Arabidopsis thaliana: one gene and its partner. The protein of the gene in region 2 purifies or fractionates together with the protein of the main gene of each other region. This does not show direct contact. Each region holds a gene or a part of one and is shown on either strand. Other genes may lie near its edges.

Region 1 (7,582 bases), on a different chromosome or scaffold from region 2:
CTATGTTTATATATACTACTGTTTGTTTTTGCAGGTTGTTGTTAGAAACGTCCCTGACATGCCTGGTCACTCGGTTCCCGATACCGTTGATCAGTTCTTTAAGACGAATCACCCTGAGCATTACCTCTGTCATCAAGTAATTTTGTTTGTCCTTCATCACTTACTTTAGTTGTAGAATGCGTTAGTGTGTGATTGATGAATTCAACATTCTTGTTTCAGGCTGTTTATAATGCGAACACTTACGCAAAGCTGGTGAAGCAAAGAGCGAAGTTGCAACGTTGGTTTGACTATTATGTGCTGAAGCATCAACGTAATCCGCATAAGCAGCCTACTTGCAGAGTTAGTCTCTCCCACGCCATTTGTTTAGCTTTTTGAAATGAAACGATGTTGATTGTGATGGGCGGATTTTCTTTTTTCAGACAGGTTTTCTTGGTCTATGGGGTAAGAGGGTTGATTCCATTGAGTACTACAAGCAACAAATCAAGGAGTTTGACCACAATGTAAGCCATTCATTTGCTTTTTAAGTTACTGCTGAAACAGAAACTTAAACCTCGTTTCATCTTTGGTGATACAGATGTCTTTGGAGCGTCAAAAAGTTCTCAAGGACTCCAAGCTAATGCTTCCTGTTGCATTTGTGTCGTTTGATTCACGATGGGGTGCTGCTGTTTGTGCACAGACGCAGCAGAGCAAGAATCCGACATTATGGTTAACGAGTAGTGCTCCAGAGCCTCGTGATATCTATTGGCAAAACCTTGCTATACCTTTTATCTCTTTAACCATCCGGAAACTCGTAATTGGTGTCTCAGTCTTTGCCTTGGTCTTTTTCTACATGATTCCTATCGCCTTCGTGCAATCTCTTGCCAATTTAGAAGGTCTTGACAGAGTTGCACCTTTCCTCAGACCTGTTACTAGATTGTAAGTCTCTCCATCTATCTCGGTTTTTTGCTTCTTGGTATGTTAGACCATTGATCCCTCTCCTTGGTATTTATTGCAGGGATTTCATCAAGTCATTCTTACAGGGTTTCCTCCCCGGTCTTGCGCTGAAAATTTTCTTGTGGATTCTCCCTACGGTTCTGCTAATTATGTCGAAGATTGAGGGATACATCGCTTTATCAACCCTTGAGCGTAGAGCAGCAGCAAAGTACTATTACTTCATGTTAGTTAATGTGTTCTTGGGAAGTATCATTGCTGGAACCGCGTTTGAGCAGCTGCACTCTTTCCTTCACCAATCACCATCTCAGTAAACCACCTTTTACTTCTATTAACCGTCTAAAGATTCTAACTTTGAATTAAAACTCATATCTTAAATGCTCTTGTTTATTGTGTTTATGCAGGATTCCTCGAACCATTGGGGTCTCCATACCGATGAAAGCTACATTCTTTATCACATACATAATGGTTGACGGATGGGCTGGGATTGCAGGTGAGATTCTCCGGTTAAAGCCCCTCGTGATTTTCCACTTGAAGAACATGTTTATTGTGAAGACTGAAGAAGATAGAGTGAGAGCAATGGACCCTGGTTTTGTCGATTTCAAGGAGACTATCCCATCTCTCCAGCTCTACTTCCTCTTGGGAATTGTCTACACTGCTGTTACTCCCATTCTTCTTCCTTTCATTCTCATATTCTTTGCCTTTGCTTACTTGGTCTATCGCCATCAGGTTCGGTTTCATACCCAATCACCCGTCGTATCTAATTCTCCGCTAAATTTTGGGTTTTCTTGATGGTGCTTTCTTGGTTTACAATGCAGATAATCAATGTTTACAACCAACAATACGAGAGTTGTGGAGCGTTTTGGCCGCACGTTCATGGCCGGATAATCGCAAGCTTGTTGATATCTCAGCTTCTGCTAATGGGACTTTTGGCTTCTAAAAAGGCAGCTGACTCAACTCCATTGCTTATCATCTTACCCATTCTCACACTTTCTTTCCACAAGTATTGCAAACACCGCTTCGAACCTGCCTTTCGACAATACCCTCTTGAGGTAAATAAAGAATCTTTTGGGCTCTCTTCCTAAAAAAAAAAGGTTTAAAGCCTTCTTACAAAGACCCGTGTTTTTGGTCTTAACAGGAAGCAATGGCGAAAGACAAGTTAGAGAAGGAAACAGAACCGGAGTTGAACATGAAAGCAGATCTTGCAGATGCTTACTTGCACCCAATTTTCCATTCATTCGAGAAAGAAGTAGAATTATCATCATCATCATCATCAGAAAAAGAGACTCACCAAGAAGAGACACCAGAGGTAAGAGTGGACAAACATGAAACACAGTCGTCTAGTCCTGTGACAGAGCTCGGTACTTCTTCCCATCACCATCATGTCTACAATTCCACTTCCCCTTCTTCTCACTACGCTTCAGCTTATGAGCAGTCATCGTCTCAGTATGAATATCACTACAATACTCATCAGTACGAGGAGCATGAGTACCGTTACAATTGATCTCTAGACAGAAGAAAAATATGTAATCTCTTATGAGTGTCATAACTAAAGGTTTCTTTTGGTCTAGGTTTAGGTTATTTGTTAGCTGACTTTGGTTTCGGTTTTAAAGGTTAGGAAATTGGTGTTAGTGTCATTCACTTGTATGAAAATATATTCGAAGATTTAATTTATTGTCATCTTTCAAGCCTATTGTAATTGTAAAATTTGGTTTATTGGATATGATAAAAGTTACGTTAGAAAATACTCTAATAAAAAAGATGTATCAAAAACTATATTAATATTAAATTAAAGTAGACAAAAGACCTTTCTTAACGGAAAAACCTAACCCGGAAAAAGACAAAACTGGATCCTCTTGTCGATAGAACTTTCTCTCTTGTCCATACAAATATCGTAATCCAATTTCAATCACAAACATCATTAACGAAGATGGAGAAGACTATGATGTGCCGTCTCTTAGAATCACATCCACGTCGTCGTCTCCATACCCATGGCTACTCTTTTAGCCACTCCTATCTTCTCTCCTTTAGCTTCTTCTCCAGCAAGGAACCGTCTTTCTTGCTCTAAGATCCGTTTCGGTTCCAAAAATGGGAAAATTCTCAATTCTGATGGTGCCCAGAAGTTGAATCTCTCAAAATTCCGTAAACCCGATGGCCAAAGATTTCTACAAATGGGTTCTTCTAAAGAGATGAACTTTGAGAGAAAACTCTCAGTCCAAGCTATGGATGGTGCAGGAACAGGAAACACATCAACGATCTCTCGTAACGTAAGCTTCACGATGTTGTTTATTTACCATTTTATTGTAACAGCTTTTTAAAGTTTTGAATTTTTCGTTCAGGTAATTGCGATAAGTCACTTGTTGGTATCACTTGGGATCATTCTTGCTGCAGACTATTTCTTGAAGCAGGCGTTTGTAGCAGCGTCTATTAAGTTCCCAAGTGCTTTGTTTGGGATGTTCTGTATTTTCTCTGTTCTTATGATATTTGATTCGGTTGTTCCTGCTGCTGCAAATGGTTTGATGAATTTCTTCGAGCCTGCGTTTCTGTTTATCCAAAGATGGCTTCCTTTGTTCTATGTTCCTTCTCTTGTTGTTCTTCCTCTTTCTGTTAGAGATATTCCGGCTGCTTCAGGTGTCAAAATCTGCTACATTGTAGGTATGAACTTGATCTTCACTTGGTTAATGATCTTGTGTTCTCTGGTAGCTTTTATGGGTTTTTTGTCTAATTGCTCTGTTTTGTTTATTATTTAATGCTGATCTGATGTCAATGTTGATTTGAATGTTTGTTTGTATAGCCGGTGGATGGTTGGCGTCACTTTGTGTAGCAGGGTACACAGCTATTGCAGTGAGAAAAATGGTGAAAACCGAAATGACGGAAGCCGAGCCTATGGCAAAACCATCACCATTTTCAACACTTGAGCTATGGAGTTGGAGTGGAATCTTTGTTGTGTCGTTTGTTGGTGCTCTGTTTTACCCTAATTCATTGGGGACAAGTGCAAGAACTTCTCTCCCTTTCCTTCTTTCTTCAACTGTGCTAGGTTACATTGTAGGTTCTGGGTAATATTCAAAAACCCTTCTTTGTTCTCCATCTTTAAGCCTCTCTATCTCGCGGTTATTCTCAGTGTCTTATCTTTCTTTCTTCCAGGTTGCCATCTTCTATTAAGAAAGTTTTCCATCCGATAATCTGCTGCGCGCTATCTGCAGTACTTGCTGCTCTAGCTTTTGGGTATGCTTCAGGATCTGGACTTGATCCTGTTTTAGGTAAAGTTACCTTCACTATGAAAGAAACTATAGAGAAACCCTTTTTTGACCTAAAACAGAAAGTAAAAGCATTTTGTTAACTGCTCTTTAATGGTGACAGGAAACTACCTTACCAAAGTAGCATCAGATCCTGGTGCTGGTGACATCTTAATGGGTTTTCTTGGCTCTGTCATTCTCTCTTTCGCTTTCTCCATGTTCAAACAAAGAAAGGTAAAACAAACAACAAACTTGTTCTGTTTTGCTTTAGAAAACTGGTAACAATCGCTTTGGTTTGCCTCTGTCTTCTTCAGCTCGTGAAGAGGCACGCAGCTGAGATCTTCACATCTGTGATAGTTTCAACGGTATTCTCGCTCTACTCCACTGCTCTTGTTGGACGTTTAGTCGGTTTAGAACCTTCTTTAACGGTTTCAATCCTACCTCGCTGCATCACGGTTGCATTGGCCCTTAGCATTGTATCACTCTTTGAAGGTATATATGTTTCTTCTTCTTCTCAACACATTAAAGAACATCCCTAACGAATTTGTTGGACATTTTCAGGGACCAATTCGTCTCTTACAGCAGCTGTAGTCGTTGTGACTGGTCTGATTGGAGCTAACTTTGTACAAGTTGTTCTTGACAAACTGCGTTTACGTGATCCAATTGCTCGGGGAATTGCAACTGCTTCAAGGTGACTCCATTACAAAAGATCTTTCACATTTTGAATTAAAATTATGCATTAATGCCATTAGGATCAAAAGACATGACCTTTCTATTTTTTATGGACAGTGCTCATGGACTTGGAACAGCAGCTTTGTCGGCTAAGGAGCCAGAGGCTCTTCCCTTTTGTGCAATAGCTTATGCTCTTACCGGAATCTTCGGATCGTTACTGTGTTCTGTTCCTGCCGTCCGACAGAGTTTGCTAGCGGTCGTCGGCTGAGGATTGATGATGTGGCGAAACACGATTGATGGTCTCAAAGCTGGCGAGTTACTTAAAATATGAGAGCAGTTTGCTTTGGATGTCAAATAAGCTTGTATTAATGAAAAAGATGATGGAAAATGTTTATTTATTTTATTTTATATATGTAAATGTTGTGAGATTTGTACAACATACATAAATTTTATATAGGAGTAGGATGTCCCAGCTTTCCAAAAATTTGTCACAAAGGTATATTGTCTCCATTTGAGGAAGATGAGATTTGTCGATGAAAACTTCGTCCTCTAGTTGAGTTTGTTACGTTGACTAGACAATAATTGCTCATATAGTAATAGCAGGTTGAAGATTCATTTGATGGAGTTAATGTTGAAGGCCAAATGAGGAGAAACAATAGATTCAGCAACATATCCTCGAAGGCCGTTAGTCGTGGACTTGGCGAAGGCGCTAGCAATTGGCTGAGACTGAGACGCTAGTTGTTAATGAAGAAAGTTTCACATTGGAAGTTGGGGTTAGTATCAAGTAGTATATAAAGAGTTAGAGTCACTCTACTTATTGCCAATTGATTTTAGGTTGGAATGTCATGTTAAGCCCAAATCTATCACTGGAAGTACCTCATAGCACCAATGATCAGTTTTGATAGCAGCTTCATACTTGCAATCCCAACCAATAGTGATCTATGAAGTATATTAAGAAATGTTAGAAACAAATATTCTAAAGCTTCCACGGCTCTTTATTTGCTTTGAATGATTATTTTAATAATTTGATTATTAGAACCAAAGTATGTTAAAAATTTAAGATTTTATGAAAATGGATAAATTTAAGATTATTTTGAATAGTCATTTATATATATATATATATATATATATATATAAATTGCTAACCGATCCAGGAAAAACAAAACCGAAACAAAACTGGTTGCGAAAATCTTATAAAATGATAATAGATTTTGATATGCTGGTAAATTTACATTTCACTTTTCTTAAAATGTGAATATAAATATTTTAATTTAGAAATTTATGTATTCTTTATTTTTCTTTTCTGTCAAACAGAAAAATCTGTCTTCAATTTCATCTTGTATGTGATAAAAAAAAATTATAAGAAGTCCCCAGTAACAATCCTTTACAAACAAATTGATGAATTCAACAAAAATAAGGGAGAGGGCAAAAGCGTAAATAACAAAAGTCGATGACGAGGGCCAAAGCCCCAATGGAAGGTGTTAAGCTAAACTCTCTTCTTGTCTGATATTTCTTCTACTCTCAAGTCTCAACCACATAACCAATAAAAAATGCTACTAATCCCAATTTCTTCTTCTTCGTCTTCGTCTATGTAAGTTTCCTCCTTTTTAACATTCAAATTCTCATCTCTTAACCATATTACTAACATCGTCTTTGTTGTAGTAGCCCTCCTCCTAATTCATATCCATCGAATCATCACTCTCTGTTTTTCTCCAATCTCACATTCCCAATTCAACATGGTACTTATCCTTCATCAATCTGTTGACTTTTTTTTTCAATTTCACAATTCAAATTCGAAGATTTGGGTCTTCGTATCAAGAGTTGAGATTACAATTCTGTTCTTCAGGAAGTAGAAAGTTGAAGACTTTGCGACTCAGAGCCAATTTCTGGGAGTCAATCCGATCTGGGTACTGAAAAAGCTTCATACTTTACTTACTCATATGAGAAATTAGGGGCTGATACTATAACACACCATTGTTGCAGGTTTGTGAAGAATAATAATAGTACGCAACTTGTGGAACCACCTTCTATAGTCAATGATGAAGAAGAAGAGACTGAGCCATTGTTACCTGTGGAATTTACTTTAGTTGAGAGAAATCTTGAAGATGGTTTAGTTGAAGAGATCATATTTTCTTCTGGTGGTGAGATTGATGTTTATGATCTTCAAGGTCTTTGTGATAAGGTAGTTTAAAACACTACTCCTGTGCTCTGTTTATGCTTGATGATACTTCAAAAACTCTCATTTATGGTTATCTTATGGGAAAATATAGGTGGGATGGCCAAGGAGACCGTTAGTGAAACTAGCTGCTGCTTTGAAGAATAGTTATATGGTTGCTACTTTGCATTCTGTAATGAAGTCATCATCAGATTCAGATTCATCAGGTGCTTATAACTAAGTATAACACTTTTCTTGACTCACTATAAGCAATGTGTATATATATACAAAGAGGATGTTTTGATGAACATCTTAGCGGATTTTGGAGAAGTTATTTGACACAGAAGGCGGGGATGGGGAGAAGCAGCAGGAGAAGAAGCTTATTGGTATGGCACGTGCGACGTCGGATCATGCCTTTAATGCTACAATTTGGGATGTTCTTGTTGATCCTGAATATCAGGTTAATCAAAACAAATGATATGGTTTTTGCATTTAGTTTTTGCTTGCCAATATAAATGCTTTGTGTTTGATGTTAATTGGTGTTTGTGTTTGTTTTCACGTTTCAGGGTCAAGGGCTAGGTAAAGCTCT
Region 2 (6,798 bases):
ATGTCGATAAACGGGTCATATGTTGTTGATGTGGATCCACATGTTGTACAGGTGACATCTGATCTTAAAAGACCAGAGAATGCCTTGTGGGTGATACACTGACACTCCTCATTATCTGCATAGTAAACCAACAAACATCAAATCAAATTCTATCTTGAAAGTTTCATCACTCAACAGAAATCTAAGGCCTTCAAACAAAAAACAACACAGAAATGATCTCTTCTTCCAAATTAGATTTACCTTGATACAAACATTTCGACTTCCCTTCGTTCTCATGGATACGGTCCAATAGCGAAATGAAGAACTCGTGAGAATCTTGCTGCTCATATGTAGCTAGATTCGTTGAGTGCTGCCACCAACTTCATGCACCAAAATAAAAGCCGAAAAAATATCAAAATCACCATCACATAATGTCTACGAAGATATCATATAAATTCTAGAAAAGCTTGTATAGACACAAATGAAGAACTCAGAGATCAAACCTGTAAAGCAAATGAGCAGGGCTATATGGAGTCCGATCACCAGAAAACATAGCAGAGAAGATAACATCAAGATCACAAGGCAAACACAACAAACCCATTGTTCTTCTAGGACAAAGATCACGATTATGTTGACCACTCAACCAAAAGTTTCTCAAAGGAGGAGCATGAACAAGTGCTTGCAACACAGCATTCATAAAACAAGTGCTTCCCAGATTGTTCAAACCTCTCAACCCCAAAGGAAACGTCCATTTCTCCCTTCGATCTCGAGGTGAGACCAAAAAATTCGACCCTATGATCAATTGCGAGTCCAATCTCCTCTTCTTGTTCGATCTAACCGCAACAACATCAGCCCCTGATTTAACAGACATACCCAAACCAAAAAGCTGCTTAGACACAACAACCTCGTCGAACTCAGAATCATACACTTGATCGATGCAAGCACAGCAATAAAGCTCAGATCTTTCGACATCAATGGCGATATCATGGCCTTTATTCAACTGGGTATGCAAAAGGATATGACTTGAACAAGAAATGGAACGACAGATCAAACAGATGTAGAGTCTCTTTTGATAAACAGAACAATAACTGCATCTGGGTATGTCGATTCCTTGAAGTTTGATCTTAATCCTTGCATCGTTGAAGCATCTGAACAAGTTATTGAAAGATTTGTAACCATCAGTACCATATCTAAGCTTATAATCAGATAAGTGATTGCACGGATCGGGATTTTTCAGAAATGAAATCCTCGCGGACATGAAAACAAAACTCAGATTCGCTTCAAAAAGAAGAATAAATGGAATCAAAAATCACAGTGACCAAAGTAAGAGTTTTTGTTTGAGATCAAAGAATCAATCCTCTTTTTTTCTGTGATGAAAAACAAAAAAGAAAGAAAATTTCGGATCAGGTTAGCGTGTTAAGAGTCATCATCTCTCTGTTCGTTTTTATCAAATTTTTACTAAAAGATCGGAGGATTATGCAAAGGAAAATTTTACAAGATTAATGGGGAAATATCTATTTCTCTTTTTTTCTACTTTCTTTTTTGGGTGTTTTTTTCTTTCCTGTAAATCTTTTATTTCTTGCAAATCTTATAATCATTAAAGTAAACATTTTTGTCGTCCAGAGATTTTTTAGAGTAGACCGACTTACATGATTCTAAAAGACTGCACTTTGTTCCACGTCGTCTTCTGCTTCCCAAACTTGACCTAGTTTCTCATTGCGCCTTACTAGTCCACTCTCTTGTAACTTCTGAATCAACTAGAAGGTCTCAGTCATGGCAAAATGATATCAAGCATTGATTGATTGTTAACTCAGAATCATTGAGTGGAAGCAATAAAGAGAGTAAAGCTTTTATCTGAAATATTTTATCCATTCCTGTCTAAAAAGATGAGAAACAAAAAGCTGGGAGATAAGGTCCCTTCAGTGCCAATAATACATTCATAGTTATGATGAACAATGAGCATCATACTAAAAAGTGTAAAAACTATGGTTTCTGAGTTTTGAAAATGCTACAAGAATATCATAAGATGAGGGAGGTTCATATCACTTAAGTAACTGTTGCAGTTATCTCACAAAAGTGTTGTCGTTGTCGCGCGGTTTTAGCGGATTATTTTAAAATACAAGAGACGCTGATTCATCAGTGGAAAACAAATCCTCCGCCCGAGTGTTCAACTTCCTGAAAAAGTAAGAGGAGGAAACAAGATGTGCAGCTTAGAGATGATTCGTCAAAATGCCAGATTCTTGCTTTCACGGATGTATTTAAAACACATAGGCCTAAGATTTAGCTTCAGACAGAAATTACCAACCTGAGGAGGGGGTAGAGATGAAACCCAATCTGATGCATGTGTTGGAAGAAGCCCCAAAGTGTTAAGCTGAGAAAGTGAAAATCGTTTGTATAAGGAAACAGTTCTTTACACTTGTAATCTAAGCCAGTGTTGCCATACGGAAAAAGGAAAGAGGATACAATGAGGAAACGAAAAAAAAGTTTCTTACCTTCCAGACACCCAAAGCTAGCCCTCCAAGGTTTAGGGCAAGGAACACTAATTTCGGCATAAGTAGTTCCACTTTGTTATCCTTGAATGGCTCAAAAACTGCAGACAAGGTGTAAAGGTAAAATATAAGGAATGATGGATACTACTTGCAAGTTCAAACACCATTTCATTTAACTTTTATATTTTCCAATCAAGAAGTCATCACAGTTCGATAAACTACATATAATTGTGGGCTGACAAGCTAATTAATAGGATACCAAATTGCATGTTAGGCAAAGACGAATAAGATGTAGTGAAGGAAACTTACTCTTTCCAACACTCTGAAGAGCACTGATAGGCTGCCAAAGAGCAGAGAAAGTAATACCAATACTAAAAAGATGAACTGTGTTTCCAGCCATCCACATCATGAAACCCATCATCATCAAATTCTTAAATGGAGATTGCGCTACTTCCCACGCTTTCTGCTCATTCCCCAAAAAAAACATATCAGTTTTATAAACTTCATCCTCACTTCAAACCCAATCAGATTTGGACAGCGAAATACAGTCTAACGTAAGCTCTGTGACAATCCAATACATGGAAGTCAATGGCTTTTAAGATCTACATAGAGTAAGATACGACTTTCAGATTTGACATAAGTGTATACCTGAAGTTTCCAAGTAGCTTCAGCGTCTTTCTTTTGGCGGCTGTTTGCTGAATCATCCTGAACTCATCAAACGATAACACATCAAATCCCAGTAGCAAAACAACTCAATTCTCAGTCAAAATTCCAAATTGAAACCTCGAATCCAATCGAGAACAACAGGAAATATAAGAATCCAATACCGGAACGGCCTAAAAAGAAAGAAATTAACCTGTTCCTGAGAGGCACGAGAGAAGCCAGGTGGATCGAGGATGTCACGGGAAGATGGAACAGTAGATTGATCGGAGAATTCGACGGCCCATCTCCGACCAGTACCCATCACTGCTTTGCCTTTGTCCATTGTCTTCTTTCTTCGATCGAGAGAGACACAGAGAGATTGGGGAAGAAGAGACCTAGATCGGATTTATCTTCTCCTCAGCTTTAGATGTTTTCCCAATTCGAATAATTGACAAGGAAAGCTAAAAAAAATCTTCACTCCAAACCCGTTTCTTCAGGTCGGGTCCAAATCCAGATATTTTAACTGGATCTCAGTTTCCTTTATTCTATTAGGCTTTTCAGCAACTTGGCAAATTGTTTAATGGGCCTTTACGAACCCATATAGTCTATATTACTTCTATTGCTTCCAAACCGGTACAGGTTCGATTAAAGAGTCTACTACTAATATGAAACGAATTTAGATGTTCATGTAATAATGATGTTCGAATTCGGAGGTTTACACACGATGTATTTTGGTATATCTTCTTGAAGCATGCGATGTGTCATTGTTAAATTGTAGTGGCAAATCTAGATGTGTTGATACTTTGCATCTCTAAATTTGGTTCTGCAGCTACCATTATTGATATATCACTTTTTTATTGTTATTGGAATTGGTACCATATATAAGTTATAAAGCTCGTGAACGATAACACACGCAAGACGAAAGACCATCCACTATTATTGTTCTTAATATTGTTAATATACAAACCTAAAATGGAATTGATTTACATAAGATACTCCCTTCGTTTAAGCCATTCCATCTACCCACTATAAATTATGAGTTGATATAATATTTCATTTCAATCTTTTTATTAGTGGAAACTTATCGGATGATAAAACAAAATCCATTGTGGGATGTGACAACTAACGAATTCCCACACTGCTACAATTCACCAGCTTTATAATTTCTATAACTACATATTCCATAAATTTTAATTTTAGTTTTTTTATTACATATTCCATATAATTGATTGATATTCAGTTACAAAACCACCATTATTCTTTGTTAGATTGTCATTTTCTTTCTTTTCTATCCTACCACAACATTCTCGATCGTATATATCTCGACACTATGCATAGAGATAGACGTTGATAGTCGCCACAGACGAATAACGAGGGTTTCCGAAACAAAATTAAAGAAAACAAGAATTTTGTTTTCATACAAACGTAAAACACCCGGGAGGCCGGGACCATTATAAAGTATCTGAATAATTTAGACTAAACGAGTGTTATTGCCTCCTCATCTTTTTCAAACACTTCAGTATCTTTGTCTTTATGCTGATTTATCGACGTTAACACATTTGCCTTGTATAAGCATTATCTTGACAATAATTAATAACGCCTGTAAGAAAAGCGATGCATCGACTTTAGCAAAAAAAAAAAAAGGATGCATCGAACAAGCTTTATGTTGTTTACAGAATTTGAAAATATTATTGCCTTTTCAATTGGCTCGGTGGTTTTTTATTAGCAGACGTCATATATATCCAACTTTGCATTTTATGTTGAGTTAACCTTTTTATATAAAATATATATGAAGGTTTTATAGAACTTATTTTGGGATTTTATAAATTGAAATCATATTTGAATGCCCTAAACTAACTGTCCATGTGTCAAAAACTGGTATAGTAAATATATTTGTATTTATCAGGAATATAATGTCTGATAAAAATGGAGAGTTAGGTCATCACTCAATTCAATTTGTTTATCAGAAATAAATTATATTTCATCCACCGTCTACGGATTCGATATAATAAAACCAAATTCATAATGAATATCACTCCCCTTTTAATTATATATACAGAGTTTCATATTTAGAACCAACAACCTGCATTATTGATGAGTCAAATAATCAAATATGAGTGTTTAGTTAGTAAAGTAACCAAACAGTAATAAATAGTATATGTTTTTTAAGAGAGATAGTAGTGATTAAGTCAATGTAAATTGTGAATTTGGACGACTGTTGTTGAATTTTCTAAGTTTCTAGAAATTAGGGTACAGATTCCAGCTTTCTCCCACTTCCACTACATTAAGATTCTTTATTAGAATCTTTATCTTTTGTTCCCACTTGTACTCATTACTTTTTGTCAAATTTTGTTTTCCGGAAACTATATATTGAGGCCCACACACATCCAATTAATTGATTTTCTTGTGGATTTTATATGTTATCTCATTCACACTTACATGTATTTGGTCCAAATTACTTTACAATCACTCCATTTACTTATATCTAGTGTATTATTTGTTATTTTTACCTATAACTTTCGTTCAACTTCAGAACTTTCTTTTAAGTATAATTTTCTTAAAGCTTTCACTGTAGGATGCTAAGATGTGAGATCACATGTTGATGTTCAACACGTTCATGTAAACAATTATTAAATCTAGCTACCAAATGCTAACTAAACTACGTACATTTAATTTTCGAAGGAGAGTGATTTCGTGAAGCAACACTATTTCCAAATTGATGCAAACATATGATATGTGACTTAAAATGTATACGCGTAAGTAAGCATGAATCAAGAGACATGATCATGTAGATTAATTTCCTAAAGATGTTGCTTTCATTCTTTTTGTGTTACTTCAATACTATGATCACTTTGGATTCTCTTAATTTTAAGCAACATTATTGCTTGCTGGTATTCAATTATTGGCGTTCTAATATGAGGCTTATGAATTGACTCTTCCATTATTAGGCGAAAATATCATTATGGAGAGTACATTAATGTTTTTGTTAACGAATAAACTATAATTATACGTTTATAAATGGGTTCATTGCACATTTGAATAATTGAAAATATAATTTTGTTTCGCAAATTAACGAATGAGCATCACACACATCCATGCATGATTCGACACCTACCTAATCAGTTTACTACTGATCAATGAATCATTTGGTGGAATATTATCCCGTTCATTGTGCTGAAATTGAAGTGTGCATAGACAACAGAAAATAACAATAATGCTCCATTGCCAGATGATGTGTCACTATCTAACTGGTTAGTGAAACCAATGGAATAGGGTGCCCCTACTTGTGTGATATGTGGATGACTGGATTGCTTCTAAAGCTTAACAACCTCCACTAGAGACTTTCTTGAGCAAAAAAGATTGGTTATAAAGGACCAACCATTGTCATGTTATTGAGTGTCATTTTTGTGAGGGAGAGAATTAAGAGAGCAAAATGAGCATAAATAGGAATCTGTTGAATATCATAATAATCCTTTGTATATGTCTCAATTTGGGTTGTAACGATGGAGCTCAAGAAAGAGAGACTGATTCTCATACTATCCAAGTCAGCTCTCTCCTCCCTTCATCATCATCATCTTGTGTTCTTTCTCCCAGAGGTGATGATTTCTTAGCCAATTCATTTTCTGATATGATTCATTGTCTTTTAGCTTTATAGACAAGGTAGATGAATAGAGACTCTCAATTAGGA

Evidence for each region.
Region 1: the proteins of AT5G10780 (region 2) and LrgB fractionate together in Arabidopsis thaliana (co-fractionation; one large-scale study listed by BioGRID). This does not show direct contact.

The regions. Positions count from the first base shown.
Region 1 is NC_003070.9:11,535,096-11,542,677, reverse strand, and holds LrgB (uncharacterized protein), read left to right. Parts: upstream 1-2,781; 5' UTR 2,782-2,921; coding exon 2,922-3,197; intron 3,198-3,269; coding exon 3,270-3,585; intron 3,586-3,724; coding exon 3,725-3,986; intron 3,987-4,074; coding exon 4,075-4,190; intron 4,191-4,290; coding exon 4,291-4,400; intron 4,401-4,480; coding exon 4,481-4,658; intron 4,659-4,727; coding exon 4,728-4,857; intron 4,858-4,955; coding exon 4,956-5,106; 3' UTR 5,107-5,436; downstream 5,437-7,582. Other genes in the region: AT1G32090 (early-responsive to dehydration stress protein (ERD4)), read left to right, coding at 35-136, 220-339, 420-500, 575-915, 995-1,240, 1,335-1,659, 1,749-1,982, 2,069-2,434; NSI (nuclear shuttle interacting), read left to right, coding at 6,389-6,429, 6,501-6,577, 6,685-6,745, 6,822-7,020, 7,109-7,220, 7,338-7,453, 7,560-7,582. UniProt on the Arabidopsis thaliana protein: Glycolate/glycerate transporter required for photorespiration.
Region 2 is NC_003076.8:3,405,077-3,411,874, reverse strand, and holds AT5G10780 (ER membrane protein complex subunit-like protein), read right to left. Parts: upstream 3,597-6,798; 5' UTR 3,454-3,596; coding exon 3,325-3,453; intron 3,174-3,324; coding exon 3,117-3,173; intron 2,932-3,116; coding exon 2,778-2,931; intron 2,570-2,777; coding exon 2,472-2,569; intron 2,351-2,471; coding exon 2,285-2,350; intron 2,155-2,284; coding exon of another isoform or gene 2,151-2,154; coding exon 2,091-2,150; 3' UTR 1,805-2,090; downstream 1-1,804. Other genes in the region: UBP22 (ubiquitin-specific protease 22), read right to left, coding at 1-115, 241-359, 483-1,237; AT5G10770 (Eukaryotic aspartyl protease family protein), read left to right, coding at 6,544-6,706.